Linked DNA regions of Alligator mississippiensis. The main gene of each other region encodes a partner of the protein of the gene in region 3 in a complex. Links are inferred from orthologs where the notes say so. Each region holds a gene or a part of one and is shown on either strand. Other genes may lie near its edges.

Evidence for each region.
Region 1: SMU1 (region 3) and ZMAT2 share a complex: the UniProt entries of both Homo sapiens proteins name them as parts of the spliceosome B complex. The link is inferred for Alligator mississippiensis from reciprocal best matches to the Homo sapiens genes SMU1 and ZMAT2.
Region 2: SMU1 (region 3) and IK share a complex: the UniProt entries of both Homo sapiens proteins name them as parts of the spliceosome B complex. The link is inferred for Alligator mississippiensis from reciprocal best matches to the Homo sapiens genes SMU1 and IK.

Annotation. Positions count from the first base shown.
Region 1 is NC_081832.1:42,418,395-42,428,436, reverse strand, and holds the start of ZMAT2 (zinc finger matrin-type protein 2), read left to right. Parts: upstream 1-5,613; 5' UTR 5,614-5,698; coding exon 5,699-5,716; intron 5,717-9,884; coding exon 9,885-9,978; intron 9,979-10,042. Other genes in the region: histidine--tRNA ligase, cytoplasmic, read right to left, coding at 472-597, 3,461-3,556, 3,906-4,025, 4,428-4,517, 5,302-5,385. UniProt on the Homo sapiens protein: Involved in pre-mRNA splicing as a component of the spliceosome.
Region 2 is NC_081832.1:42,570,111-42,580,175, reverse strand, and holds the start of IK (protein Red), read left to right. Parts: upstream 1-5,813; 5' UTR 5,814-5,905; coding exon 5,906-5,921; intron 5,922-6,621; coding exon 6,622-6,688; intron 6,689-7,246; coding exon 7,247-7,339; intron 7,340-7,656; coding exon 7,657-7,716; intron 7,717-8,753; coding exon 8,754-8,921; intron 8,922-9,006; coding exon 9,007-9,121; intron 9,122-10,065. Other genes in the region: TMCO6 (transmembrane and coiled-coil domain-containing protein 6), read left to right, coding at 464-631, 1,100-1,270; NDUFA2 (NADH dehydrogenase [ubiquinone] 1 alpha subcomplex subunit 2), read right to left, coding at 1,913-2,004, 3,417-3,523, 5,564-5,673. UniProt on the Homo sapiens protein: Involved in pre-mRNA splicing as a component of the spliceosome. Auxiliary spliceosomal protein that regulates selection of alternative splice sites in a small set of target pre-mRNA species. Required for normal mitotic cell cycle progression.
Region 3 is NC_081826.1:152,718,286-152,727,751, forward strand, and holds the start of SMU1 (WD40 repeat-containing protein SMU1), read left to right. Parts: upstream 1-5,365; 5' UTR 5,366-5,450; coding exon 5,451-5,476; intron 5,477-5,616; coding exon 5,617-5,827; intron 5,828-7,152; coding exon 7,153-7,305; intron 7,306-8,042; coding exon 8,043-8,153; intron 8,154-8,925; coding exon 8,926-9,054; intron 9,055-9,466. UniProt on the Homo sapiens protein: Involved in pre-mRNA splicing as a component of the spliceosome. Regulates alternative splicing of the HSPG2 pre-mRNA. Required for normal accumulation of IK.

The DNA.
Region 1 (10,042 bases), on a different chromosome or scaffold from region 3:
AAAAATCTCCTTCCCAAAACAAACAAACAAAAAAACAACCCAAAAGCCAAATAATGTATTCACAGGGAGGAAAAAAAAAGTCCTCTTGGCTTCTACAAGGAATCAGGAGAAACTGACACAATGGATAACCACATACTTCCCACTGAGATAAGCTTCCAATAGAAAATTAAGAAATTTCTAATGGTAGCCACTGGAATGGGTGTAAACCAACAATAACCTGACATACACCTCCAACCAGGCTTAACTGTTTAACATTGTAACAATAAAACAAGGGTTTCATTAACATGTCCTTTTACTGCCTGACATTTTAACATAACATACCCAGACATAAATGGAGCTCTCTTCCTCCCTTCTCTCCCCTGCACTTCATTGAAGGATTAGGAACCCAGATTCACACACAGCCCCTCATTCCTAGATTACTGTAGCAAAGACTGGCTCAAACACCCTGCTCCTCCAGCCATGGCTACTCACACACTGGTAGAACTCCCTGTAGCGGCCCCTCGTCATGACTGGGTTATCCCTCCTGTAAACTTTAGCAATGTGGTAGCGTTTAATGTTGGTGATTTTGTTCATGGCCAAATAACGAGCAAAGGGCACCTGAGAACAAAGGGTTAAGGATGGAAACTGGAGAGCATCTCCCAAGGCCTGCAGCCACCCAGACTTATCGCTTTGTAGGCAACCACCAAGCCAATACAACACAACTTTACAGCAAGTCTCAGGCTAATGTAAAGTACTGCAAAATATTCTTCCGGGCAGGGAAATCAGGGCTTGTGTGACCACTTTCCAATTAATCTCACTAACAATAATGCTGAGAAAACACAGCTCCTCTGCTGGGTCTTTGTGGCTTTTGATGATTTAGTTCCGATACAAACTAGATTAAATAGATAATTGGATGGAATATACTAAGGGTAGACACCTCATGGAATAAAAATACCTTGTTGTGCAATTTGAACAGAGATGGAGAATCAGAGACAGAGGTCCTACATGGAGGACCTATTTAGTACCAGTAAGAAAGACAATGGCTCTTCTAAGAATAGGAAGTTGAATGGAGGGAAAGGAAGGAAGCTAGGGTCAGATGAGTGCAGGGAAGGGGGTCAAGAGAGTAGGAAGAGACAAGGAACAATGTTTATAGGGAATGCTGGAGCAAGCATACAGCTTCTATGAAAAAAAGTGAATTTTGGCTTAGATCTTGAATCAACTGGGGAGCTGCTTTTGAGGCATAGAGTATTCTAAGCACCACTTCTCTCACCCCATTCTCATTAAAATATTAGGCAACTGTGGTGTCGATGCCTACAGTCATATGGGTTGCAAATTGGTTGGAGGGCTGCACCCACAGAGTGGTGGTGGACAGGTCATTTTCGACCTGGAGCGATGTGGCCAGTGGGGTTCCCCAGGGCTCAGTCCTCGAGCCCGCACTGTTCAACATTTTCATCAGCGACTTGGACGAGGGGGTGAAAAACGGATGACACTAAGATGTGGGGAGAAGTGGGCAGGCTAGAGGAGAGGGACAGGCTGCAACTAGATCTCGACAGGTTACAGGGGTGCATGGATGAGAACAGGATGGGTTTCAATACTGACAAGTACAAGGTATTGCACGTGGGGAGGAAGAACCAGCAGCATACCTACAGGCTGGAAAACTCCCTTCTTGTCAGCACAGAGGCAGAAAAGGATCTTGGAGTCATTACTGATTCCAAGATGAATATGGGCCACCAATGTGAGGATGCGGTCAGGAAGGCTGACTGCACCTTGTCATGCATCCACAGATTCATCACGAGCAGATCCAAGGAGGTGATCCTCCTTCTCTATGCGATACTTGTCAGGCCACAGTTGGGAGTACTGTGTCCAGTTCTGGGCAATGCACTTCAGGAGAGATGTGGCCAGCATTGAGAGGGTCCAGAGGAGGGCCACTTGCGTGATCAGGGGGCAGCAAGGCAGGCCCTACGAGGGGAGGCTACGGGACCTGAACCTGTTCAGCCTCCACAAGAGGAGGCTGAGGGGGGATCTGGTGGCAGTGTATAAACTGGCCAAGGGGGACCAGCAGGCAACGGGAGAGTCCCTGTTCCCCCGAGCACTACTGGGAGTAACAAGGAATAATGCCCATAAGTTGACCGAGAGTAGATTCAGGCTAGATATCAGGAGGCACTACTTCACAGTCAGGGCAGCTAGGATCTGGAACCAACTTCCAAGGGAAGTGGTGTTCGCTCCTACCCTGGGGGTCTTCTAAAGGAGGCTAGATAATCACCTAGCCGGGGTCATTTGACCCCAGCACTCTTTCCTGCCCATGTCAGGGGGGTCGGACTTGATGTTCTGCTCAGGTCCCTTCGGACTCTACCAACTATGAAACTTCCCTGCAGATGATTTTGAATAGTGCTACCCCAAAAGGTTTTTAGTAAATGTAAGCTAATTGCTCACAGAATGTGGATGTTAGTGAAAACAAGGAATGGATAAAGGGACGATGCATATTTTAAACATAATTGATGCATATAAATAGACTTAAAATGCATATGAACATAATTAGTTGACATGTAGTATAAGTAATGAGAATAAAAAAAGAGTCAAAAAAGTTTTTTATTAAATGGTATTGTTAAAAAAAAGATATTTGTGATCAGATCTTGTATTTGAAGTGCATTCCAGCACCATGCCAGAGTACACTTTTACTATTGTTTGAGCCATCTGAGTAACCGTGTTTCACTAAAGTGAAACTTTGCTTTCATGACTTATTGTTCTTTGATTTTACAGTAACCATATAGCAGCTTTTAGTGCAAGTTAGAAAATGCTTATTAGACAAATCTCATTGTTTTTTAAGGATTAGTGCTGTTTTTTAAAACTAAGGATTGGCAACCTATGGCTTGTGAAGTGTGATGCAGAGGTCCAATCCAGTACAGTGGATTGGTCTCTCAGAGCTGTGCTGCGCTGCCTCTCGACTTTGCAGTACTCCCCTCAGCTGCAGAACTTGCTGCTCTACAACATTTGAGCTTACTTTGCTGCAGAGGGGCAGAGACTGGGCAATGCTTGTAAGCACTGTCTTGCCCTAGTAAAAGCCTGACAACCCCTGGTCATAAGTCTTTCAGTATCTAAAAAATAAAACTTTTCCTCTGAGCCAAGTCTGGCCAGACACAGTATGATAATTAGGTGTTTATACTTCCATTAAGAATACAAGGAAAATTATGGAGTGGGGCAATAGTGGGGATTGTGCACTTGCCAGAGTGTTAAAGGCTGGGGGCTTGAACTAGTCAGAGACAGGAACTGCAGGAGCACAGATGAAAGGAGACGGTCAGGACAAGGACAAGGTGTGACTGTATACAAAGGTGAAGATGACAAATGCAAGCTCCTTTCTAACTTGCAAAGCAGTATGTAATCATCCTCCTGCCCCGTTTTCCACCCTCCACCAGTGCCTAAAACACCTGCAACTCCCCCCCTGAAATGGTTCTCTCTCACAGTAGAGACTCTGGCAGGATACAGTGAGGTCATAGCGAAGGGAAAGCAGCTCACCCCCCTGATCTTTCAGATCATAAATGAGCTTCGAGTCCTCTCCATACTTCCCAGTCAGAGTTTCCTAGAGAAAAAAAGACAATTGTCTGGTAAGAGAGCCAAGGCCCAGGAGCAGAATCCAGCAGCAAGCTGTTCCCAGAAGCAGAGAATCCCTTGAGCCTGACTTTCCGAGGTCAGATCCAAGCCCTCTCCAGTTTTACTATAGAATGAGTTTTCTTTCCTTGGGCACTACTTATAACTGAGGCATTAGTCAAGGCACCTGTCCCTAAAGTTACAATTAATTCAGCTGCTACCCCTTAATGCACCAAAAATTAAATGGAAACAAAACTACAGAGCCAAGGATCCCACCTAACTTGCATCAGTGATTCACAGTCAAATCCTCCCAGATGTTAACTTGCCATCCCTGCACTCACTGTCAGCTCAAACACAGGGGTGTCAATGACCTCAGCCCCATGACGCTTGAAACAGTTGATGATGGTGCTGAAGACTTTCTCCCGGATGGCCATCTGCTTTGGGCTGAAGTCCTGGGTGCCCTGAGAACCAAACCCAACAAGAAATGGGTGAAGAAGTGTTAAGAAATTGAAGTATCCTAATGTCATAGATTAGCCAACATCCATGCAGCTGCCAGCTGTGGTGGCTATTCAAAACAGTAACAAAAAGTTCATGACAAGGAACAACTAGGCCTTAAAATTGATGATTCTTTGGTGTAAGAGTCAACCACAAAGAAGGAACAGAATGAGAGAAGAGCTTTAAGGCTGAGACACTGGAGCTGAGGATACCCTGCAAGAAACCGCACAATGTAGGTCTAAAAAGGGAAGATCTCTTCCAATGGTGGAAGCACCAATCCAAGTGCAATCAAAGGAAATGAGATAGGATTATTAGGAAAGGAGGCAACTTGGGACAGACCCAGCCCTGTGAAGGAGACAAGCCATTACCTTGGGGGTTTTAAGAATGAAGTTCTTTTTCCCTTCTTCAGTTTCCAGCTGTGCCTTTGTCTGCAGGAGCTTTCCCACAGTTTCTACTATCTGGGAACAGAGACAAGGCTGGTGATAAAAAAGAGCCTGATTCTGACCTACAAGAGCCAGCTGTCACAGCATGGAGAGATGGTAAGATGACAACTCAGCTGGCAGACTGTAGTAAGTTTCCTTACTATTAGAAGCTCCACTGAAATTCAGGTCCTGGCTTTATTAGGTTCTCTCACATGTAGGGTCTTAAATACTATTAAGGCTCCAACATAGTCCTTGCAGCTCAGCTCAGCATAGCACACAAGAATCAGGGAGCAGTTACTATATAACAATTCCATAATAAGGGAGTGTCTTTACTTTGTCTTTTTTGATAGACTAGAAAGTCCCTAAACCAGACCTAGCATTTTCTAACTAGCCAAAATAAATGCCATTAGCATTGTTTGGATTATTGGTGCCCAACCTTTTGGCCCTGTGAGCTGGATGAGCAGTGTGGGGCCAGTCCACAGACAGGGAGGGGAAGGGGATGGATCCAGCCACTAGGTCAAGCCCTACACATCTGGCGCCAGCCTTGAACACAGGCGCTATATAGCACACAGGGGTATTCCATCCAGCTTGCGGACCTCCCCCTGGTCCCGAAATTTGGCAGGAGGGAAGCAACCAGTAACTGTGTCACCACTTCCCTGCCGCCAAATTTCCAGACCTGTGGGGGCCCCGCGGGGCGGATGATACAGGCCTGACGGTGGATGTAGCTCGAGGCCCTGCGCTGTGCTGAAAGCTACCCAGGATTGACGATCCCTGCTCTCGGCCGACATCGCCCTTCAATTGGCAGACCCTCAGCACTCACCCGGTCCCGGGGACGAGCGGAGAAGGCGCGCAGGGCGCGAGGCGGCCCCCAGGCCCGCGCAGCCGCACGGCGGAGCCCGCTCATAGCTCCGCTCGGCCGGGCCCGCGCCGCTCACAGGGGGCTCGGGCCGGGCGGGGCCGCTCACAGCCTGCGGGGACACGAGGCGGCGCGCGGAGCATCACCTCCCGGCCCGGCCCGGCCCGGCCCAGGCTCCCGGGCACCACCGCCTCGCGCCCCTAGCGCAAGCCGCCTCCTCAGCTACACTGGAAACCCAGTCCTGGGCTTGGAGCAGCCACTTCCGCCACCGTCACTTCCGTCACGGAAGCCGACGCCGCGCGTGGCCGGGCTACTCGCCGGCCCTGGAGGACTTCCGCCTCCTTGTTCCCTCGCGGTGGAGATGGCGTCGGGCAGCGGGGTAGGCGGCGCGGGGCGGGCGGGGGCGTCCCGGCTCCTTCTCTCGGGAGGGAAACGCCGCCGCCCCGAGGAGCTGCCTCCGGCCCCGGAAAGGAGTGGGGCGGGCGTCCTGCGCGCATCGCCCGCGCGGTCCGGCCCGGCTCCGGCCGCGCTTTGCTGCTGCTGCCTGCCCGGGAGTGCGGCACAGCCGTGCGCCCCCCCGGAGCCGTGTTCCCGCCTTGCTTTGTCCTCAGTGGCGCCCCGCGCTGTCCCCCGCCCCCGCCCGCGGTTCGCTGCGAGGCGTCGTTTAGGCGTTAGGGCTGCACCTGGGTTTCTCCCGTCCTGTCCCGCGCAGCCGCCGGGCGAGGTCGGCTCCTGCAGGCCTCCGCTGTTGGGATAGGTGCCCCCAGTGGTGCCTGACCTTTCTGCCTCCGTGTCCCAGATCCGGTTGGTGGGTCCAATCTGATCATGCCACTCGGGACTTGGAAATCTGTGGGTGGGGGAAGCAGGAGCAGCTTAATTGCCACTGCTCCCTGCTGTCACATCTCCCAGCCCACCAGGCTGGATTTGGCCCAGAGGCCAAGGGAGAGCACCCTGAATTATACTCTCCACTGATTCTGGATGGCCCGTGGCTGGCGGCTGCCATGGCAGGGTGCAGACTGGGTCGGGATCTGCCTAGGAAATCGGCGGTAACCAGAGAGCCCCAGCAGTGTGGGCACCCTGAGGGAATTGTGCTAAATAGTCCAGTTCCAAAGTGTCCCTCCAGCACACTGGTTTAACACTTGCACAGGAGGGCTTGGCTGGTAAAGATAAATCAGGCATGTTGCTGTCTTGATCATAGGTGTAGAAAAAGGTATCCCCAGTGCATGCAGTAGGTAGGTAGAGTGGGGAAGGGACTCTACTATATTCTGTGAAAGAGCTGTAGGTCAGTGGTTGAAGAGCCACTTGTGGCTCAGGAGCTATGGTCTGATTCTTTCTGCTCTAATGGCTTCTTTACAGCCTAACAAGTTCTGCAGAAGGTTTTCCAATGCTCTTATAACTGCTTTGAAATTCCTTGAAACTGCTTTTATGTAACTTAAGACGTGTGAATTTCTGCTTTGTTTTTCTCTATTAAAACTGTAGTTGTCCCAGAGCTCTTGCTAATGGATCATATTCTGACATTTATCCATGTTGACATGGAAGGCCTATATGTTGCAATACATTTCCAGTACAACATGTTTAAATTGTTCTGTCTGTGTGTATAGAGTTCATCAGTTATCAGCCATTACTGTGAGCCAAAGGCTTTAGAATTATAGTTGATATGTTCACGTTCAATAGTGTGGTGGTGAGGGAGAAAACTAAGAAGAGAGAGAGACAAATCTGAGGTTACTTTTACCTTCCTTCAGTTAGACCCTACAGAAAAATACTTATGGAGAATCAAAATTCTTCTTATATGAGGAGTTTTGAAACATTCTGCTACCTTCTGCTGTAAACCTAGGGAAACTTGCTCCTGAGTCACAAGTAGGAAAGGAGGGACATCTTCACAGAAAATGTACTGGCAGGAGGAAAAATATATATTCAAGTGGGATGCAAGACCTTATATCTGTCAGAAAGATTTGGTGACCTCATCCCCAAACCCACCAAGAGACAAACATTAATGTCCCCAACTTTCTGTGGCCCTTTCTGACTCCTCTCTTCCCTTCCTCTAAACAAAACTTCATACAGAGGTAAGATGGGGAATTTCTCTACAAATTCCAAAGAAATTCTCTGACTCAGAACTAGATGGGGGTTGAGACATATCTCTATTAGGAGCTGCTTGAGGAACATTGCTGTTGTCTCCCCTTGTTCCTGAGCTGCAAGAGGAGTGACTGTGTACAGATGACTCTGGTACTATTGTTATACTGTATGGAGATCTTGAGTGCCCATTGCTCATCTGCTTCTGAGTTAAGAAACCTCATTCCCCTTGATCGTATTCTTTTTGGCTTGCTACTGCCACTAGACTTAGCCCAGGATGCTGTGTAAGCTGCCAAATCCATCCTGTGTCATTGTGAGACTATTCTGCCTGAAAAACCTTTCAGAATGTAGTGTTGAAGTCGAATGAAGAGAGCATGGGATTTAGAAGGGTAAGGCTTCTGGCATTTGTTATAACTGCTTGCCAATTCTAGACCACGTTAACAATCTATAGTAGTACCAAAAAGCCAGCTGTCAGCACCACAGGGACTTGTATATATGTTGTTTCTGCTTTGGCAAATATTTCCATTGTTTGGAGTCAGAGCATGAAAAGTGAGCAGAAAAAAGAATGTTTGAGTGGTTGTGTGGTCTGTCAGCACAGGAGGCCAAATTGGGGCACTGACTTTTGTTCCTGGCTGTAGGGTGTCATGTCCATTTGTCAGAGCAGAAGCCTTGACTTGGGACTCCTGAGTTCTGTTCTGAGCATTGTAGTTGTGTTGCTACATGACATTGAACAAGTCTCTTCAGTTTGTGCCCTGCAATGATTATGAGGCTTTTGTGTACTCCTTTTAGTTCCTATCTGATGTCCTCTATTGGGAGAATATTATTTGTAACCCCTGAGCAGTTATTAGATAAAGATTTAGGGGTTTCCAGCAACCCCTGTCCCCTTTTTGATCAATCTGAAAAAGTTATTTTAGAATTGCTAGCGATGGCCTTTTAACAGCTAGATCAGAAGTTGGGTTTGATTTATTTCACTGTGTTTGGCCTAGGGACACTGGTAAAAGATCTTCAAAAGACAGTATCCTTTTTATTATAAAAAGAGAGTGAGGCAGCAAGTAAATTGCCTTCTCTCCAGGCTCCAACCAACTTTGATTTGTGATAATACTGTTTCTATGTAGGAGAATATAGAGTCTGGAAAATACCCCAAAACATTAATTTACACTTTGTGAATCTCCTTTTCTTCTTGCTTGGGGAAGCTAATAAGAAAATTCTTTGTTATAACATGCTTAAAATGCTTTAGAAGCTCTGGGAATAAATGGTAAGTTTGCTACCTGTCTCCCAGGCATTCTTATTCTCATCAGTAGCTATTCTTTATGTTGGAAGGATTGCCAGGAGGTGGAGATTTTGAATGATTGCACTGCTGCTGTAGTCTTAAATGAAGTTTTTTATTTTCTTTGGAGCTTGACTGGATTCTTGGTTTGATTAACCAAGGGGGGAGGATACATTTTACTCCAGCACATGCTATCTATCCCCTTTCCCCCCAGACATGAGCAAAGAGATTTCCACAGGAAGACTTTCCTTTTTATCAATTTTCAAAAATTAAAAACATGAAGAGGATTTTAAATATTGATACTTCTGTTACTGTTAAATAAAATTAAGAGAAGTCTGTTTTATTCTAACCACTCATATATATATTTAAATGTCTTTAAAGTGGGTTTCTGTGCAAAAAGTCTGCACCAGAAATGTTTCCTTTTTTCTTGCTGCTTTTTCTTTCTGAAAGTCAGGAAAGGAGAGTTAGTCGTGGACTAGCTGACTGTGAATCTTGTGCAATTGGTCATCTGAGATCTCAATGTCTTGGCTTTACAATAAGAGGGACATGAAAATATCTGACTAGAGAAAATGGAGGGTTTTTTTTAAAGTTTATTTTGTGTACGTCTTGCCTAGTGTATAGAGGTTTTATCAGTATTAGGTTGGATACTTGGATCTAATAACTGACTTGTTGCTTTGTTTCTTTTATTTCCTAGCCATGCCTATAAAAGCTCTTTAATCCTTCATGCACAGTTTGTGTCTGTGCATGTATGTACATCTCTACACATTAAGACTCTCAAGAGTTTATTGTTGCCTTATCTGGCTTCCTAACGGTCTCTTTTGGATTCACATTTAACTGGCTTAATCAAGAAAACTTAAAATTTTCACTTTGTGCTTGGAAACCCTGTTTCCAAACAGACAAAAGTAATCCGTGTATTTGTGCCTGTTTGAAAGACAGGGATGAGTATTTTGTGAAACTTGGAAAATTTAATTTGGTATTTGGTTCAGTCCTTGCAGAACCTCTTGACAGGTTTTTTACGCCTGCATAGCAGTATCTTTCTGTGCTAGAGCCCCTGTTTCTGGCTGTGGGTAGGTGGGGGTCACTGGAATTGAGTGATCTTTATTTGTCAGTGTGGCCCAGCACACCAAATCATTCAAGCTCTCTTCAGGTTCGGTCTCTTATTGCTGAGCGTAGAATGTGATATATCCTAATTCATTTGGTTCTCTCACAGACTAAGAACTTGGACTTCCGCCGAAAGTGGGACAAAGATGAATATGAGAAACTTGCAGAGAAGAGGCTCACAGAAGAGAGAGAGAAGAAAGATGGTGGGTAACACGTTGAATCCAAACAATCTCTCCTCATTTTGCAATGAGTAACCTAACTTTTGAA
Region 2 (10,065 bases), on a different chromosome or scaffold from region 3:
AATGTTATAGCTCAACTTTGCAGCTAAGGGACACACACCACACAAGCTGCATGTTGCAGGGGTAATCCCTCCAGGATCCCCTCCTGCTGTGCAGGCTGTGCCAGCAATATAAGCCCCTCTGCTCTTTGGGCTGTGCCAGTGGCATGCAGATTCCCCCCCACCCCTGCTGCACCCGCAGCACACAGCCCCCTTGCCCTCCACTTCACAGGTTGTGCTGGCAACACATGTATGTACTCTGGGCCTTCTCCTGCTGCACAGGAATGGGAGTAGTGGCTGTCAGTGCCTGCAGGTCACATGCTAACTGTTTGTGGGTTGCACACTACTCCTAGCAGCCTGCTAATTGGACAGCCTTGTTACAGATGGTTGTTTACAGCCAGCATAACCAGCCATAGTTACTTCAGTGTCACCTGGGTGGCAGTTGTGGAGTGGTGCAGCTTAGCATACTTATGTCATCTCTTTGTAGGTTTTAACAGTGTTGTGCAACATAGCTGAGAAGGGCTGCGCCTACTGCCAACAGCTACACCAGAAGGCTGTGCTTTCTTCGCTGATCAGTATCCTCACCCTCTCTGATGCTGAAGTGGCAGGCCAGTGCCTTGAGCTGCTGCATCTCCTCTTCCTGCATTGGCCAGAGGTACAGCTTGGTTGTCTTTCCTTGTGTTGTCCAAACAAATGTGTTGTTTAAAAAGCTTTAATGTGTTTAACTTCACCAAACACAGAACAATGAAGCAAAGAATGTCGTAGGGCAAGGTGCTGGTGACACCTGCTGACTTAAGCTCACCTGTACTGAAAATACAGTCCAGGGAAACTTCTGTTCTTTTGCCACCACCCAGAACCAGGAAAGTTCAAGTTCCATGGGTTTACCACAGCAATATGAGACAGTTAAACTACCTTGTCTAATCTGAGCATTGCACCTGGATATTGTTGTAGCGGGCATATTATAAATTCAACTAACCCTTAAACCTCATTCCCAAGAGCTGGTAGGATGAGTTGAGTTTTATTCAAGATCCAAGGCAGTACAGTTCACATAGGCTACACAGAAGCCTTTGGGACAGCTCCCAGTCTGGGCTAGCTCTTAATTTACTGTCCTCTTCTGGAACAGGCTGCTGCTGACTTTTTCACCCAAGCAGGACTGCAGGCCCTAGAACAGCATCAGCACCACCCAGAGCTTCAGGAACGAGTAAGAGCGCTCATGAACTTGGCTACCCAGCCAGCTGCAGCCTCACCCTGTTCCTTGGTTTCTTCAGCTGCTGTACCATCTTCTCTCCCCTAGAGGATACTGCCTCCACACTAGTTACTTTTCCTATTAATCACCCCACCAGTTTTGTATATTGATAAATATTTTGGAGTTTAATAAACCATTTTATTATGTCCTACTTTCATATTATGAGCCAAGTGCACTGGCTATTTTCTGATAAAGTATCAATCTGAAAACTTGAGTGATCTTACAGACAACTAGCTGGGAGATCAGTAAGTGGTACCTAGGTGAAGGGTATCATAACTAAGCATTATTGGCAAGGTTCATTGTATTCAAATTTGAGATTACCCAGCCTAGCACACTCACTACTAGAGGATAGCTTAGTATTAATGAGAAGCTTTCCCCTTATCCTTAAGTACCTCCTGCCTGCCACTACAGGAAGCTGTTCTGCTCAGGCAAGGACCAGAATAGTCTCAGTTGACCAGGAGGAAAAGGTCTCCTTCCTCAAACAGGTCATCACTGAATCACCACAGACTTAGTCCCTCTAGTAAGGGGCACAGATTACAAGATACCTTCCAGCACAGCATCTCTATTAAAAGCATGCATCTTACAATATGCTTTATATGCAGTGAATAAGTTACAATGACAGATAGAACATGTTCTTTGTTAGCCCGTTTGAGCAAAGGCTCCAGCACATGCAGGCTTAATTCTTTGTATTCATGCCTTGCTTTTAACAATGTTCTCCAGGGCCTGGGCAACTTGGTCCACATTCAGGTTGTTCAGGGGCACGCACTTTTCCCTGCCAAACTCTGGGGGGAAAAAGAGAGAATTAGCAACATCCAGAAGAACCAGTTCATTCTTTTCCCTCCCTAGCCTCAGTGTACAGTTTATTCTCTATTGCAGATCTGGAGTGTATTAGTTGGTCTCACAAATATGGCATGTCATAAAGCTTTTCCCCTTCCTTTTCTCAAGTTTTGGCCTCTCCACTTCCTAGCTGTAAATGGTCTTCCTCCTCCTCAGTGTTCACATAGTTCTGTCCTATTGTTTTGCTTACCTGCGTTCTGTACTGTTTGTCCCTTGAAAGAGACTATTCAGAAAGATAGCCTCACTTGCTAGCTCCATGAGCAAGGCTCCTAGTCTGTCAGAGGCACTGCTCTGCCAGGGGCAAAACAGCCATGTCTTATTTCATTCATCTCAAAATCCTGAGAAGTGCTTGAGGAAAAGCTGTCTGAAAGATTTTCTGGTGTGCCCCCTGCTGGTTGTATTGTAACTCTCCTGCTTGGTTCTTGCTGCACTACTTGCCTCCATAATTTGTTCCATATGCTAATTCTAAGGATGTTTAAGGATTTTTTCAGCAAAGAATAAGTAGTAGAAGAAAAAAAAAAAAGTGAAAAAACCCAGCAGAACACAGTACAAAGTAAGACTAAAGAGAACAAAAGAAAATAGTACAGAACATAACAAAACAAGACACATGCATCTGTTACAGGAATCTCAGCTTAGTAGACACCCATATCAGACAGAAATATTCAAAGGGAAAAATTAACTTCAATCAAAGACTTAAGCACACTGCACACTAATGCTAGCATTCAGAACTATTTGGACTTATCACCATCATGGTAAATTTAAATGTCTTAACTCCTTAACGATCTCATGAAGAATGTCTTGAATTTGAAAGCTTGTCTAAATTGAACTGGACCCACTGCCTGGTTGGAATAAACATATTTCCCCCCCCCCGCCAAATCCTTGCTTCACATCATTTCATAGTAGCTAGGGTCAGGAAGGACCTGAACAGATCATCTAGCCTGACCCCCTGCCACAGGCAGGAACGAATGCTGGGTTCACAAGACCCTAGACAGGTGATCATCCAACCACATAATTCCTAAACTATCGCAGCTGCAACATACTTTAACTCCTTAATCTCTCGTCCTTTTATAAATCAGGCTCTTGTTTTGATTTGCTGTCTTGCTTTCTTATTTCTCAAACTGAGTAGGCCCCACAGCCTCATCCTGAATCCATTCCCTTGTGTGCAATGTATATTGTCACCCTTCTCTGTATTAAAAGCAATCCACTTGATGAGTTTGTGGTTTAATACAGACACCAAGTGTATAGTGCCACAATTGCTCGTGTGAGCTTTTTCTGAAGGTAGTACATGAACCAAGAGGCTAACCTTCAAAACAAAAGGGCCATGATACTGATAGGGTGCTGCAGGCTCCCAACTCACCATATCGAGCCCAGAGTTTAGGCTTCACCTCTGAGCATTCCCGGATTAGGATGGGGAAATCTGGATTTGCTTTCTTCAGAGTCACATAATGCTGTTCAATGAAGTCTCTGCAAAAAGAGAACAAATTAAATCCCAATATCATTGCCAACCATAGCTACTGCGAGAGAGATTTAAAATATATTTAATTCTTAAGGCCTCAAAAGCTCCACATGCACTCAGTCCTTCTAAAGCAAACTCTGAAGCGTTCAGAGGGAGAGGCTGTCCTATTCCCCATAGAAGTTACAGTAATGAAAATATGTTCCTCAGCTCTGCTCCCTCTCACCTATATCAAAGTGCTCATCTGGTAGCATCAGGGCTGTGCAAGGTTTTGGAGGGTAGCAAAATAAATGCAAAAGGTTACAAGGGATCTCTTATCTCCTTTGTGTTCAGACAGACAAGTGTCATAACATCAATATCGTCCTTTCACCTCAGGCAGAGACAAGTGTCACCTATCACAGTACAGGAAGTTCCTCTGGCATGCACAGAGGGAGTCTAGCTGCAAGAGAGAAGTGCAGAGGAATATTTTTTATTAGTCTTCCTCCTGCTGGGGGAAGCTGTCAAAGGGAGCAGGCTCAAAACAACTGTTATCTCACTCCACTGCTTCAAGTCACACTGCCCAGGAGGGTCTCATACATCACTGACCACCATCATGGAACATTACAGGACACTGAGACCAGGCCACAGCATATAGACCGGTCTCTCAGCTAATTCATACCAAGCCTTATCACTTTTGCTAACTCTCTGTTAACATACCATTTTGTTATAGCTTATAGGAAACTTACAAGTTTATAGGCTTTAGGCATTAAAAAATGAAACAATAGAAAGCCCAGTCATTCTTAATGCTCAAACCCATTAGCTGAATTAGTGTCGCTAGAAACGATGCCCACTTTAATGGCAAGCCTAACAAAGCAAAGCAAGAGTCAACACATTCAGAATCTAAGGGCTGGGAATAGATGTTAGGATGACAGACAATTTGTGCAGTTGTACAGTAATTATGCTTTTGTCCCAGGAAAAAGCCTTCCCCCCACCCCAGGATCCAATCTCTCTGAACTATGCAGGATAAAGTGTGCCAACACTTTTTCCCCAGGACATGGCTGCATGCACCTGTAAGGTTACTCTGCTTTTTTGCCCACCCAGGACAAGCCAGCTAGGCTGTACATTCCTCTCTGGCAGAGCAGCAGCAGCAGCAACACAGCCTGAAAGGGCATCATGTAAATGATTGCACCACACCCGTTTTGATCCAGGTCAAACATCAGGACAAACAAGGCTAGTGTCAAATGAGAGATATCTATTTACATTAGATTACCCTATAATTCAGAAGGGCTGTGCTGAAGACACACACTGTCCAAACAGTCACTCCCGTAACATCCAATCAAACGAAACTGCAGCACAAGTAAGTATTATGGGGGCTTTTCAATTATAAAATGTACTCTGGCTCACTCTCAGCTAGTTCCAGGGAAAGAAACCCCATAAGCTCCCTAGAAGAGAATTCAAGTGAGTGTGTCTAGTCCCTGGGACCATACTACACACCAGGCTCTCACTATCACTTGTCCCAAAGGGAGTTCAGAAGAAACTACCTCATAAGTAGGTTTCTCCATACTCGTCACTTTAGAGTTCTTACATCTTTTTCTGCATAAGCCCACCTGCCCAGCCTGGCTCTCCCATATGCACTGCTGTCAGAGAATAAATATTAGAGTCAAATGAACACTGGCCTGACCTCACACAGCAATATCTAGGGGCCCAGCCTTGACTATGTGCTGGGGGAAGCAGGAGCTGGAGAAGCTGCCAGCAAAACGGACACCAGGGCACCCTGAAGGGCAGTGAGGGAAGCGTACAGTGACCACCCCAGGAAGGAAGCACATCCAGCAGGGTCCAAGAGAAACCATTTCCAGCAGCGGCTCAAGCACAACCCCCTTCCCCGCGGGGCTCTTTCACGCGGCCCCTGGTGGTCTCCCGCTGCCCGCCCCCGCGCCTCTGGCCGGAGCAGGGCCGCTCCTCCGCCTCGGGGTGCAGCGCCGAGCACGGCGGGGCCGCGACGCAGGAACAAGGAAGGGCCGTTCCGGGAGGAGTCCGTGCCCAGGGGCGTCACGGCGGGCCGGGGCCCTCACCTGGTGCCCTGGCTGCCTGGCGAGCGCTGGCACAGGTGGATCCGAATCTCCTTGAGGCTCCGGCCCAGGCTGCCCCCGATGCCCCGAACCGCTGCGGCTGCAGCTGCCATCTTCGCAGCACACCACCAACCAATCCCGTACCCCGCAAGTCTGGAAGACGCGCCGTGTCACAGGGGCTCCAGCCAATCGAGCCGCGCTTTGGGAACCTCCTTAGCCAATCCGAAAACAGCTACCCAGGATGCCCTAGAGCGCTGCATTGTGGGTAGTGGTGGGCGCGGTGCATGGTGGGAAGAGGTGACCCCAGCTCTCAGGTGTTGTGTTGTCGCAGCCGCGCGGGCCGAGATGCCGGAGCGGGACAGTGAGTGTCAGCGGTGGCGCGGGCACGTCCCCGTCCCCGCGGCCGAGGCGCTGCGGGCCCCCGGCTGGGAGCTTAGCCGCAGCGCGGCGGCCCCGACTCCGGCAGCGGCCTGCGCCTAGGGTGCGCGGGGCTCCGGGCCAGTGGCGGCGGCGGCTCTGGGTTTGCCACTAACCTGCCCTACGCGTACCGGGGGCCGTGACGTGTGTGTGTGTCTGTCTGTCTGTCTGTCTGTCTGTGTGTGCGTGCTCCCCCTGGGGACCCACCTTGGCAGCTGCACCACAGAGCAGCCCGACCCCCTCTCCCGCCTGATCTGCTGCTCTGCTGCTGCGCTGTTCACCCTAAAAGCAGCTTGTTTTCTGAAAACGACTGCAAATTATTCCTGAGCATTTTCATATGGACTTGAAGCTGCAAGAACATGGGGTCAGTGCAGGTTGCTGTTGGCTAGTGACTATCTGGAGTAAAACGAGTACCAGTTCTGTACGTTCTGTGTAGGGACTAGCTGCCACATGTACATGGAGCAGCACATACTTGTTTACTTTGGCCAACAAAAAGTGTTGCTATTCTCTGTTTGCTGTTGACTGAATTCCTATGTTATCGCTCTCTAGTTTGGTGTTTACAAACTTCCCCAGTAGGCGTAGGAGTGGGCTTGGGAGCACGGTGTTCAGGTTGAAAGGCTCAGTTCTGTGTTTCTTTCTCCTAGATGAGCCGTTCTCCAACCCTCTGGCCCCAGATGGCCATGATGTGGATGACTCCCACACCTTCAACCAGTGAGTATATGAGTTTTGGTGTCTTTCTCTTTGGAGGGAAAGTTTAGAATAATTTGTCCTGTGGAAAGGTAGGATTTTGAGAGTTTTATTGCTACAGAAAAAAAAATTAGCAACAGGTAATAGATTTCAAGATCAAAAGGGGAGACCTTTATGAACCTTTACTCTGACTTGCTGTATAGCATAGGCCAAAGAGTGCCAGTGATTATCACACCTAATACCTGTTAGCTGAATTGCAGTGTATGTTTAGGATCCAATTTTGGTCTAAGGACAACAAAGGAACGGAGTACCAACCTCATCCGTAGGCTCTTTTTCAGTGGTTGGTAGTCCTCTGTTAAAAACTTTTGTCGTATTTCCAATTTGAACTTGATTACGTGTGTAATCCAGTGCAGGCAGCTGTGCCATAATCTACTGGGAACGCAGTATTCAGATTGAGATGCTTCAGTTAATTATTGTCCTGTTTTCAGGTTCAGGGAAGGTAAAATTCATCAAGGAAAAAGAGTTATGATGTTGGAAAAAATAGTATGTTGTCACTACTGCAACAAGCTACATTTCTTCTAGGTCCAAGCTGACCAATGAAGACTTTCGAAAGCTTCTCATGACCCCGCGGGCTGCGCCAACATCTGCACCACCCTCCAAATCTCGTCACCATGAGTAAGTAGATTTGTGTACCCCTTTACTTTGCTCTTTGACCCAATATGAGCTCATTGGTCTTGGACAACTTATACATTCAGTTCCAGTTCTCATTTTAAAGATTTTCGGATTCTGTTTCTGCCTCCCTGTTAGTTCAGTTAAACTAGATATACACCTGGGCAGAAAGTCTAAAGGCCCTATTCTGAATGTATTTGGTTTCTGGGTATGTTGGTGCTAGCTCTGAGTTCCCTGTGTGGCTTGTTGCCTTTAGTTCCTCCTGCTCCTGTCTTGTGCACCTCTGCAGTTTGTGATGTGTATGTATGTTTTTGCCTCTCCAGGATGCCCCGGGAGTACAATGAAGATGAAGATCCAGCTGCTCGCAGAAGAAAGAAGAAAAGGTAAATTGGGAAAGCAATGTCTCAGGACCCCCCTGCGCCCATCAGCTATCCACTTCCCAAGCAGTGCATCAGAAAGTGACCCTTACTGGTCTGGAATATCAGTGGGTTGTGGAATGAAGGAAAAGGACCACTTGTATTAGAAGTATTTTTGATAGTGGTTGTAACCTTTCACAACCCCCATCATAGGAATTGAGGAGTGCAGTAGGATGGTATCAGAGATTGCGTAGATTGTCCCAAGAAGGATACTAGAAAAGAGGGAGCACCTGAGGTAGCTCCCCTCTTTGATGGTAATTAGGAAGCAAATAGGATATCTTGCCTGTTCAGCATTTCACTTCAAGTACTGCAGATGTCTCTACTGTGGCATGTGTACATGGGGCAGTGTAGAGTGGGTTCTTCAGTTACAGTTTTTCTACAGTATCTAACTAGATATCTGTCGCCTTCCACACTAGCTGTGTACCTAAATACATTAGGAGTAAGTATACAAAGAGAGTTAGGCAAGAAAGATGGTCTTTGTTTTCCACTGAGAAGTGATGACCTGAATGGAGCAGTCTGATGCAGGAAGGCTGTCCTGGATAACAGAAGCTGCTGAGACAGCTTTTGCACTTATAACAAAGCAAATATGAAAAGGGACAATCAAGGCCAGTCCCTGAAAAGCAGAGGAGTGGAGGGAGACCTTGTCTAGGGGAGACTGCAGCAGTTTGAGCAAGGTTTTATAAACATGTTTTGTTTGTTTATTTTTGTTTGTTTGTTTTCTGAATGGTGTTGGGGTAACAAGAGGAGCACAGTACAAGTGTTTGAGGATGGGGTGCTGTGGCCAAAGGCAGAGAGCAGTATTCCATGCTTATTGGAGCTTGGAGATCTGTGACCTTGGGGGAATAATGGAAAAAGAGTTGCAAGAAGCTAAAAGCCTGGCTGAAGATTTGAATAAACGATGGGGGGTGACATGCAGTGCTGTATGAATGGCTGTTGGCAACATTAGCCAGCATCTCGCAAGTATAACCCAATAGCTCAACGACCTAACCCTTTTCCCACCCTAGCTATTATGCAAAGCTGCGTCAACAAGAGATTGAACGAGAGAGGGAGTTGGCTGAGAAATACAGGGATCGAGCAAAGGAGAGAAGAGATGGTGTTAACAAAGACTATGAAGAAACTGAACTGATTAGTACAACTGCCAACTACAGGGCAGTGGGACCCACTGCAGAAGCGTAAGTGAGCTTGTGTCCATTCATTGCCCATCAAGGTGTAGCCTAGAGTTGGTCATACACAATGTGCTCCCTTTTTATTGCATAGGGATAAATCAGCTGCAGAGAAGAGAAGACAGTTGATCCAGGAGTCCAAGTTCTTGGGTGGTGACATGGAGCACACTCACTTGGTGAAAGGTCTGGATTTTGCGTTGCTGCAGAAGGTAAGCACAGATAATACAGCAATAGGGCTTTCTATTAGAGGTGCACTGATGCATCAGTCCGATATTGGATTGCAATGATATAAAGAAAATTGACTGTACTGGAAATTAGCCGATAAATGCCCTGTGCATGCATGCAGCCACAGCACAGCATGTAGGTGGTGAGGAGCACAGCCTGGCAGCTTAGAGAGCTGCATCCAGCTTGTAAGTCTGTTGTGGTAGAAGGGGAGGGGCGCAGATCAAGGTCCCCCATGGTGAGAGAAGGGGTGGGGCAGGCACAGCCCAGCTGGGATGAGGCAGAGCACAGGATGGAGCTGTGGCTTGTCCAGCGGGCGTGGGGAGGGGCTACAGCTTCCATGGCTGTGCGCACCCCAGGAGGGCACGGGGGAGTGGGGGGGGAGGCGTGTGCCCCCAGATCTGCTCAGGGTGGGGCAGGGCAGACTGCCGCTGTGGGCTAGGGCCAGGGCTGGGCCAGGCTGCACTTGGAGCAGGCAGTGGCAGTGCTGGGAGGGGGTCTACATGGGGGGTCTACATGGGGGGCTGCAGCCACCCCAAAATTTGCTCTAGCTCCTCCCATAGCCCCCTTCCCAGCACTGCCACCGCCCACCCCAAGTGCAGCCCCAGCTCTCCCCTTCCCACGCACCAGGAAGAGCCTGGTGCAGCCCTGACCCCAGCCCGCAGTGACATCCTGCTCCACCCTGCACTGCACAGATCTGGGGGCACATGCCTTCCCCCCATGCCCTCTTGGGGTGTGTGCAGCCTTGGGAGCTACCCCCCTCTCCCCACACCCTCTGGAAGAGCTGTGGCTCCGTCCTGCGCTCCGCTACTCCCCAGCTGGGCTTTGCCTGCCCCAATCCCACTCCCTCCCTCACCGTGGGGGCCTTGATCTGCTCCCCCATGCCTCTTCCCTTCCCCCTCCCCTTCCACCACAACAGACTTACCAGCTG
Region 3 (9,466 bases):
TGTTGAGTACAAGGCACAACCTAATGCATGGATGGACAAGGAAATATTTTTGTATTGGTTTTACCAGGTCTTTATACCAGCAGTGAAAGAGGATCTGAAGAAACTTGGAAAGCCAGAAGACACAAAAGTTATTTTGATTTTAGATAACTGTCGAGCTCACCCTCCTGAAGCAGCGTTAGTGTCTGGAAATATGTTTACCATCTTCCTGCCTGCAAATGTCACCTCACTCATACAGCCTATGGATCAGGGAATTATTGAAAGTCTGAAATCCATCTACAGAAGGGATTTTATGAGGAAGCTACTCAACTATGAAGGCACTCTCCAAGAATTTCATTCGCAGTACACCATTAAGGATACAGTTTTCAATGTGGCATGTGCCTGGTCTGCTGTGAAGAGTGCAATTTTAAGAAGGGCTTGGAGAAAACTGTGGGCAGCAGTAATGGTTGCAGAGGGATTTTCTGATGAAAAAGAATTTGAAGGCTTCAATGCAACTCATAAACAAAAATTCACTAAGAGAGATTCTTGATATCCTTCAAAATGCTGAACCCACAAACCCACTCATTAACTTAAAGATACTGGACTTGAAGAGTGGATAAACATTAATCAAGACCTTGATGTTGCACAAACTCTTACTGATGCTGAAATTATAGAAAAAGTTGTGCATCCTGAGAGTTCTACTGCACCTGAACAAGACTCAGAAGAATACCGCAGTGAAGAAACTAAAGTGGCTTGGGCTACTGCTGCACAATGTCTTGAAACATTCTTGAAATTTGCTGAGCAACAGTCTTCTTATTCTGCTCAGGAAGTGATGCAATTTCATGTTGTGCCAACAATTTCCTGAAAAAAAGGCAACTGACTTGCAGGCAAGCAGACATCTGCAAGTTGCTTCAAAGAGTTTCTGCACCTTGTGTTAAGGAACCAGGCATTTCAACACCATCAACATCAACATCAGATATTACTGATGCTGATGATCCTCAAGAAGAGCCACACTCCGAAGCAGAGCCACATTCTGAAGCAACCTCAGATCCAAAGGTGCCTTCAGAAGCAGCTGAGGGGCAGTAAATGTACAGTATACTATTTACTATATTATTCCTTATATCATAGTTAAAAGATTAAAAGTTATTATATCATAGTTAAAATGTAGGCTTAGTTTCTTTCTTGAAAAGTGTTATGCACTTGGAAAATTTGGTGAACCATAAATATAACTCTCAGATAACCGGCATATTTGATTAACCGGTACCCCCAATTCCCCATGGATGCCGGATAACAGAGCTTTTACTATAAATAGACATATTGAGTTAAAACTGGAAACGGCCAGTGTTACATGTATCCGACCTAACTATAAACCTTTTATCACAATTTTAATTGAAGGGTGGGTAAAACAGTTTTCCAATATTGTAGAGGGTGAAAGATTGTCTAGAAATAAATGAGATACTGGGACTATTCTAGGTGGGATAGTTGCTGGCCTCAGTGTTATGAATACAGCAAATACTGAGGTAGTGATGAATAAACTAGCCCAGGCCACAAGGTAATTGAGAGAGATAAAAAGGCCTATTACATCATCCTTGTCCAAAATTGGAAAGCAGGCTGTGTTGAATGCAGAGGTGCTTCCAATATGGCATGAGGTGATTCAATTAGAGCAAAAGCAATTGAGAAATCGCAAAATGATACAGGATTGGCATTATCTTGTACCCAGGCACAGTCTTGGGTGCAGGCCATTATTAGTGGTATAATCTAACAAGGTCAATCCAGCATCAAAACTTAGAGCTAAACCAGTTAGTCTTAAAGGTAGCTACTCTGACCGAAATTCAAAGAGTGGTGAACGTTAACTTCCTTTGGACACCTTCCAAAGAGAAATGCAATAGTAGCAGATATACACACGATTGCTCAAGCCAAAACTAAACTCATTAATCCTCCCATCAACATTGAAAGAAGAATAAATGGATCATTATTCTTTCCTAGGATAGAAGCACAATGGGTAAATTATCAAAACGATAGTTCAGTAGAGCTAACTGATGTAAAACGTTGCCTTGCCCACCAAGGACTAAGATACATTTGTGAAGGCATGCATCAACCAATTAGGGATAATTGCAGAAATTCGGACAATTCTACTTTTACCAAGTGTCATTTTGATATAATTCGAGAAGGAAACTCTACAACTGCCATATATGTACTCAATCAACAGTGTATTTGTATAAGCACTTGGCGTACGGAAGTTATCTAGAATCATTGGAAAAAGGCGGTTGTGTTGTGGCAGAATCAAACTTTTTGTGCATGTCACGTTTCTCGTGTTTCTAGCTGTGATGTTAATGTTTCTATTCCTTATGTATATAATTGGACATTAAGTGTAAATGTTACCGTTTATGATAATATAGAGCCTGTTTGTATTGGAATTAATTTATTGGTATTAAGACAACTGATTTTACATAATGGGATTCAGAAAATATTAGAAAAGAATGTTAAAGAAGCTGAGAATATGTACGTAAAGGTTATCCATAGGAATCTGTACATATCTTAACCAGGTTGTTGACACTGCAAAGCACCAGTGGTGGGAAACGTTGGGGTGGAGCCCAATAGCATCTGGAGTAATAAATCTGGCCCTCCATCCAGTAATTGTGGTGATGATTGGACAATTGCGTTTGGGAATAATGAGTGTGATGACAATGATATGGATGTGCAGGGTGCGAAAGAAGTTAATGTACATATACAGAGTGATCAGGTTGACTTGATCCAAGTGCAGATTTGTTGATGTGTTGAAAGATGAGTTTTTGAGAAAATGGGATGGAAATTAGAGTGATTAATATGTATCAATGGAAAAGATGAATGAGGATGTAAAAAGTGTATATGATAATGTATGAAAAGAGTTAATGGCTTGGTATGATAAGCTGAATGTCTATAGAAGTTGAATTAATGTTGGAGTAATCATTTGTTTAGTAAAAAGTTCCTTGGAAAATGGAACAGAAGAAAGAAGAGATCACTGAGTAGACCCATGTGGAGACCTCTCCCCATTGTTCAATACAAGTGGTCACATCTGGTGTCCCACTTGACAGCATGGCATGGGGTTGCAATAATGATTAGGCATGGCGAATTTGTATGAACCCATGACCCAGCATCTCATGTTGATGTAGTGATACCTCAAACATTGTTACATCTATGTGAGTATCAAGGAGGGGACTGTTGCGGCCAAACTTAGGGTCTGGGCCTACATACAAGGTGACACTATGGTACCACAGCACAGATGGAAAGTGGGTCACCAAGTGAACTGTGAGTGACCTTGCCTCATGAAAGATGATGTAAGACCACTGAAAGAGGTGTCATGTGAAGCTTCTGGGGCCAAGTGCAGAGCCACCTAGGTAACGTGCGCACATAGCCTATAAAGGGGGTGTGTGGGCGGAGCTTAATTGTTTGTCTGAGGGGGGGTGTGGTTTGGTGTGGGACTGAGGTTGCGTATTTTTTGAGGAATACATGTGTGTCTGCAGGTGGATGTATGGCTGTGAGGTTTGGGGTCTGTGTGTGTCTGAGGATGCGTGCATAGTGTGGTCAAGGGAGCGAGATCGATTGAGGCCTGTGTTGGAGATCGACTAGAGTATGAGAGCACGGAGAGAGAGACTGAAGGAGAAGACAGGCACTCTGTGGAGGCTGTGTATACTCCAGAGGCTCGAAGGCCTCCGTGCGGTTGCTCCCCTCTGGATTTGCTTCTACACTAAAGTAAATAGAGTCGGCTCCCCAGACTTTTCCTCCCCGGGTGTATGTGTCTTTGACACAGAGCAGCTCTTTGCTTTATTAGTATTACCTCAATCCCTCTCCTCCTTCTTCTGTCCTTTTATTAGTTAAGCACCCTTGTTAAAAAGGCAGCAAGGTGGGAGGTAAGCCACCACGGACCTGTACTGGAGGATGGATGGCTGGTGACAGATCAGACGGCAGTGGAGATAAATAAAATTACTCTTGCTCCTCTGTAATAAATTCCACTCCTTTCTCCCTGCTATAGTTAACTGAAGTAGTTATTGGCTGTTCATTCATTAGTTGTGGTTAGTATTTAAGAATGTAAACCTGTGATTATCTGTTGATGTTTTTACTTGTTAAATGTTGTTAGTTGCTGTTGTTATTATAAACCGTGTTACTCATTTCAGTGCTAATTGAGTGTGTGTGGTAGTTAACTTAACTTCATCTAATTGCCTGGTAAATTGGGTAGTGATCGATATACCCAGGTTTAGCAGCTAATTGTCTCCGGGCCAAGAAACACCTCCCTTTATGTGAGTGGACAGTATAAGGCACAGCCCATTGAGCAACCTCATTTAATTAGGCACTTAAGTCCTTGCATAACAAAGGAATGCAGAACAGCTGGTCATATTTTAAAGACACTTTACTGGGGGTGCAGAAACGAACCATCCTGACACACAGGAAGATTAGTGAGTATGGCAGAAGACCTTCTTGGCTTAGCAGGGAACTCTTCAGTGAGCCAAAATAAAAAAAGGAAGCTTAGAAGAAGGGGAAACTTAGACAAACAACTAGGGAGGTATACAAGAGCAACCTTCAACTACCTTAACGGTGGTTTGAAAGAGAATGGGGCTAGACCAGATTTGCTGGTGGTCATTTGTATCACTTTAACTTGGTGGAGTACTATCTGTCAGGAGTTTGGGAACCGCTCAGCTAGACTGTTCTCAGTGGTGGTAGATGATAGAACAAGGAGCAACCATCTAAAGTTGCAGCAAGGGAAGTCCACTTAGTTATGCGGAAAAACAGTCTTTGGAGAAGGGCAGCAAAACGCTGGAACAGGCTACCCTGGTGGAGCCTCTACCCCAGGGGCAGGCAAACCTCCCCCCCCACGGGTGCCGAAGTGTGGCACCCAAAGATAGTTTGTTTGGCATGTATGCTTCCTGGGTGGATGGTAGGGAAGAAGCCAGGGCTGTATGGCCATAAGGATCAGGCCCTTTGTGGCTCCCACGTCATCTGCCCCGGCACGCCAACATCGTACAAGTTGAAGTTGTGGGTGTTCTTGACACTGCTCAAAACCGTTGCCGACCCTGCTTTAACCCTGACAGATCATTTTAAGCCCCGGCTAGAGGCAGCCTCGGCTGGAAGGACACAGCTAGAGCTAGCGTGGCTCTGAGCAGCGAGTAGGACTAGATACCCTCCTACAGTCCCTTCCAACTCTCATTTTCTACGGGCCCCAATGAACCGCATGAGCCACGACTAATACCCCGCGCCCACAGCACCACCTACGCCTCAGCGCCTAGCGCACTCGCCTCCCTGCTCCGGCGCGGCGCGTCGGCCTCGTAGCCCCGCCCACCCCCGACGTGGTCACGTGACAACGAGCAACCTGCGCCGCGGACCCTGGGGGGCGGGGGGTGCCGACGTGCGGCGGAAGCGGCCGTGCGTGGGGCGGAAGCGGCTGTTTCGGTGCGTCTGTGCGGGCCTGCGGCGGGGAACGTGGCTGCTGCTACTGCAAGATGTCCATCGAAATTGAGTCCTCGGAGTGAGTGCGCGCGGGGTGGCATGGGCAAGGGGACAGGCGGCGGCGGGCCCGTCTCGCCTCGGGGTGTCCCTGGGGTGGGGGAGTGGGGAGGGCGCCCGGCCCCGGCGGTGCTGAGCGGTGTGGGTGCTGTCCCCGCGCAGCGTGATCCGGCTGATCATGCAGTACCTGAAGGAGAACAGCCTGCACCGGGCACTGGCCACCCTGCAGGAGGAAACCACCGTGTCGCTCAACACCGTGGACAGCATCGAGAGCTTCGTGGCGGACATCAACAGCGGGCACTGGGACACGGTGCTGCAGGCCATCCAGTCCCTCAAGCTGCCCGACAAAACCCTCATTGACCTCTATGAGCAGGTGAGCCCCCCTGGCCCAGTCCCCTCTGACAGCCCAGTGGGAGCAGCATGATGAGCTCCCCACACCCGCCAAGAGGGCTTAAGCACCTGCCCCCCAGGGCTGGTGGCAGAAGCAGTGTTTCCTGCAAAGGACTCAGTTGCACTTCTTATTGTCTGAACTCTCCCCTGACCTCATGATGGCTGCCTGTGCTTCTGATGTCACTGTTGAGATCAGGAGCCACAAGCCAAGTTCAAGCACTGGCCATGTTTAACACGATTAAACAGTCCTGGAGAGCTAGTGTGGAAAATCGTACCCCTGAAGGGAGTTACAGTTCCACTCGAAATAAAAGTAGCAGCAGGTATCTCCAGAGCAGGGGCGTTGTGCTGCAGAGATTTTCTTGGTGCAGTTTTGTCAGTTGGGTTACAATGTTTGTGTAGTTCCCAACAAACCTCCAACAACTCTGCAACCTTCCCCTCCTCCTCCACATGTGGAGTCATAGCTATAACTAGTATTCTTCTTCCAACTCACTGCACTGACATGACAGCAATCATCTTTCCCCCCAAACACACAACATGGTGATGTACTCCCAGTAGCTTTCTATTGTTCTCTCTGTACTAGGGGTTGGCAACCTATGGGCTTGATCCAAGGAGCCTTTTGGCCCAGCCTGCAGACATGGGGCTTCAGCAGCTGTATTGACCCGTGGTTTTGGTCAGAGGTGGGTGGGTGCATGTTGGGCAGTGGCAGCACAGGAAAAGCACCTACCAAGTCCAGTTTTCCCTGCAGCAGCATGGGAAGAGTGTCAGCAGCTGCTGCTTTTACCTGTAGCAGAAAAGGGCTTTCCCTGCTACCACAGGGTTGAACATTGACTGTAAACACTCTCCATGTGCCGCCGTGGGAAAAACAGACCTTGGTAGGCACTTTCCTGGTGCCACTGCTGGGAAAAGTGATGACAGCAGCTGGTTCCTAATACCTGTCTTCTGCTCACCCACCCAAGGCTGACCTGATTTGAGTCAATCTGGCCCACAATCTGAAAAGGTCAGTCTGGCCCACTGTCCAACTCTGCCCTATATATTTCCCATTGTGATGCATCCCCAGACAGACAAAGCGGATACCAGCAAAAGGATTCTTTTGCATTTATAAACTAATGTGTTGTATCATTGGAATTAGGCCATATGAGTCTTTACAATGTAAACTAGTATATGAGCTAAATAATACATTCTTAGACTAATATGTGAAGAATGGCTTAGTTTGGAGTAGAAAATGTTATTGTGTAGTTTAACTGCAATCATTGGAATGGTGTTTCTTTATCTTCTGGATGCTAAAAGTGACTGTTTCCATCCTTTCAGGTTGTCCTTGAATTGATAGAGCTTCGTGAGCTGGGTGCTGCTAGATCCCTGCTGAGGCAAACTGACCCTATGATCATGTTAAAACAAACTCAGCCAGAGAGATATATTCACCTTGAAAACCTTCTGGCTAGGTCCTACTTTGATCCCCGCGAGGTATAGTTTTATTGATAAAAATACATCGTTATTGGGTTTTTTGTATACGTTAATTTATAGCTAGCATTTTTATGTAACATACCAACCAGTGAACGTTATATTCTTGTATTTGGAATGTTTTTTGTTGAGTTTTTTCCTGAATAAGTCATTCCTGAACCTAGACGTCTTTAACTGTAGTTTTAGAATTGTTCTTACTCTATTATGCTTCACTTTTGTTTCTTCAACTTTTTATAAAGCATTTAACAAATAAACTATATTTTTAATATTGTTTCATAACTGAGAGGAAATGTGGTCTTATAGTGAAAGTCCTAGGCTGGCATTTGAGTGACCTGGATTCAGCCAGTCCTCATCTCTGCCACAGGTTTTCTGTGCAACGTTGGCCAATTTATTTAACCTCCATGCCTGTAAAACTGCAGTGCTTTATAATTAAAGTTTTAGACTGCATATGTTAAGTTTACATTAAATCCCTTTATTCAGTTGTGGCCTCAGAATGATTTTTATCTGGGTTTCTTTCTTTGGTTTATCCCTGACCCCTCAAACTCTTGTGGTATGTTTTGGCCAAAATGCTAATGTGTAATATGCTATTAGTTAAAATATGTATGTCTGTGTATACATATACATACATACATCTCTGTCTTTCTCTTGAGATAGATAGATAGATAGATCTCTAGAGAGAGAGAGAGCTATAGCTATATATCTTCGAGGAAAGATTCTTTCATGTGTAATTCCTTTTTTAGGCATATCCAGATGGAAGCAGTAAAGAGAAACGAAGAGCTGCTATTGCTCAAGCTTTGGCTGGAGAAGTCAGTGTTGTACCTCCTTCTCGCCTTATGGCATTGCTGGGGCAGGTAACGCTTGAAAAAGATATTTTTACTTGCTATGCTAATTTTTCTAGATCTTTGTTATCTGAGAGTCTCAGTGGGATAAACCATTCCTGAACTTTGTTGCAGTAGAATCTCACTAATATCATATTTGCATGTGAATTACCATCTCTTGTCATCAAGGATTTCATCATAGTAAGGTGTAGGGTTGTGAAAGGTAAATTAGTTAACAGTAAGTATATTTATAGCAGTAATGCATTACAGTTACAGTTTAGCGCCAGATGCAGTCCAGTGGGGAAGGGAAGTGGTGTGATGCCCGAGGAAAGTGGCCAGGAAGGTACTGCCTCCACCTCCCTATACGTGTGCAAGCATATGATTGGGAGTGGGGACTAGTACACATTAAAGATAGTGTGAGCAGTCACAAAGAAGCCGTGCCTGTCTGTCAGCATGTGGCTCTGCCTGCCTTTCCCTGTGCAAGTGGATGCTGGGGATGAAGGGAGAGGGCTTCATGTGGGCTGTGGGGCTTGCTGTTGCCACCTTGTTCCCTCCCCCTGTGCTTCTGTAGCCAGTCCTGGGAAGCTGTACAACACAGCACCATACTGCACAACAAACCTACAAATGATTGCTTGTAAAAGAATCAAATGGTTGAACACAGTGTGTCCTTTTAGTTCAGAGATGTTTACAGGTTTTTAGGAAAATTTTTCTGTTTGAAAGAATTGTGAACAAAACCTCTTACAAGGATATGTCATTGCTTGAGCACATATGTTTCTAATTATATTTCCTTTTCCCTTCTTAAAAGGCACTGAAGTGGCAACAGCACCAGGGATTGCTTCCTCCAGGTATGACAATTGATTTATTCAGAGGTAAAGCAGCCGTGAAAGATGTAGAAGAGGAAAAGTTCCCCACACAGTTGAGCAGACATATTAAGGTAAAATGTTACATTTTTCCCAAGTGCTTGATATTACCTTAGATCAAGACTTCAGTTTTAACACACTATTTTCCAGGTCTTGCAACTGTTGAATATTGTTTCTCTGTAGAGTTTTCCATGCCTAATTTTGGCTATGAGGGGATTTTTGGAAGTTTGAAGAAAAAAACCTATAACAACGGGCCAGTACAGGGGTTCCCAACCTTTTTATGCTGCAAACCGGCAGCGACCAGCATATTACAGGCGGTCAGCCAACCTTTTTTTTTATACTTGGTATAAAAAAGTGTTGGCTGCCAGTTTGCAGTGTGCTGGTCACTTCCGTACTGGCAGCCAACCCTCCTGCGAGCCAGCAGCCAATCCTCCGCAGTCTAGTACCAGGCCACGGCCCCTGGGTCTGACGGTTATATAGGGGAGT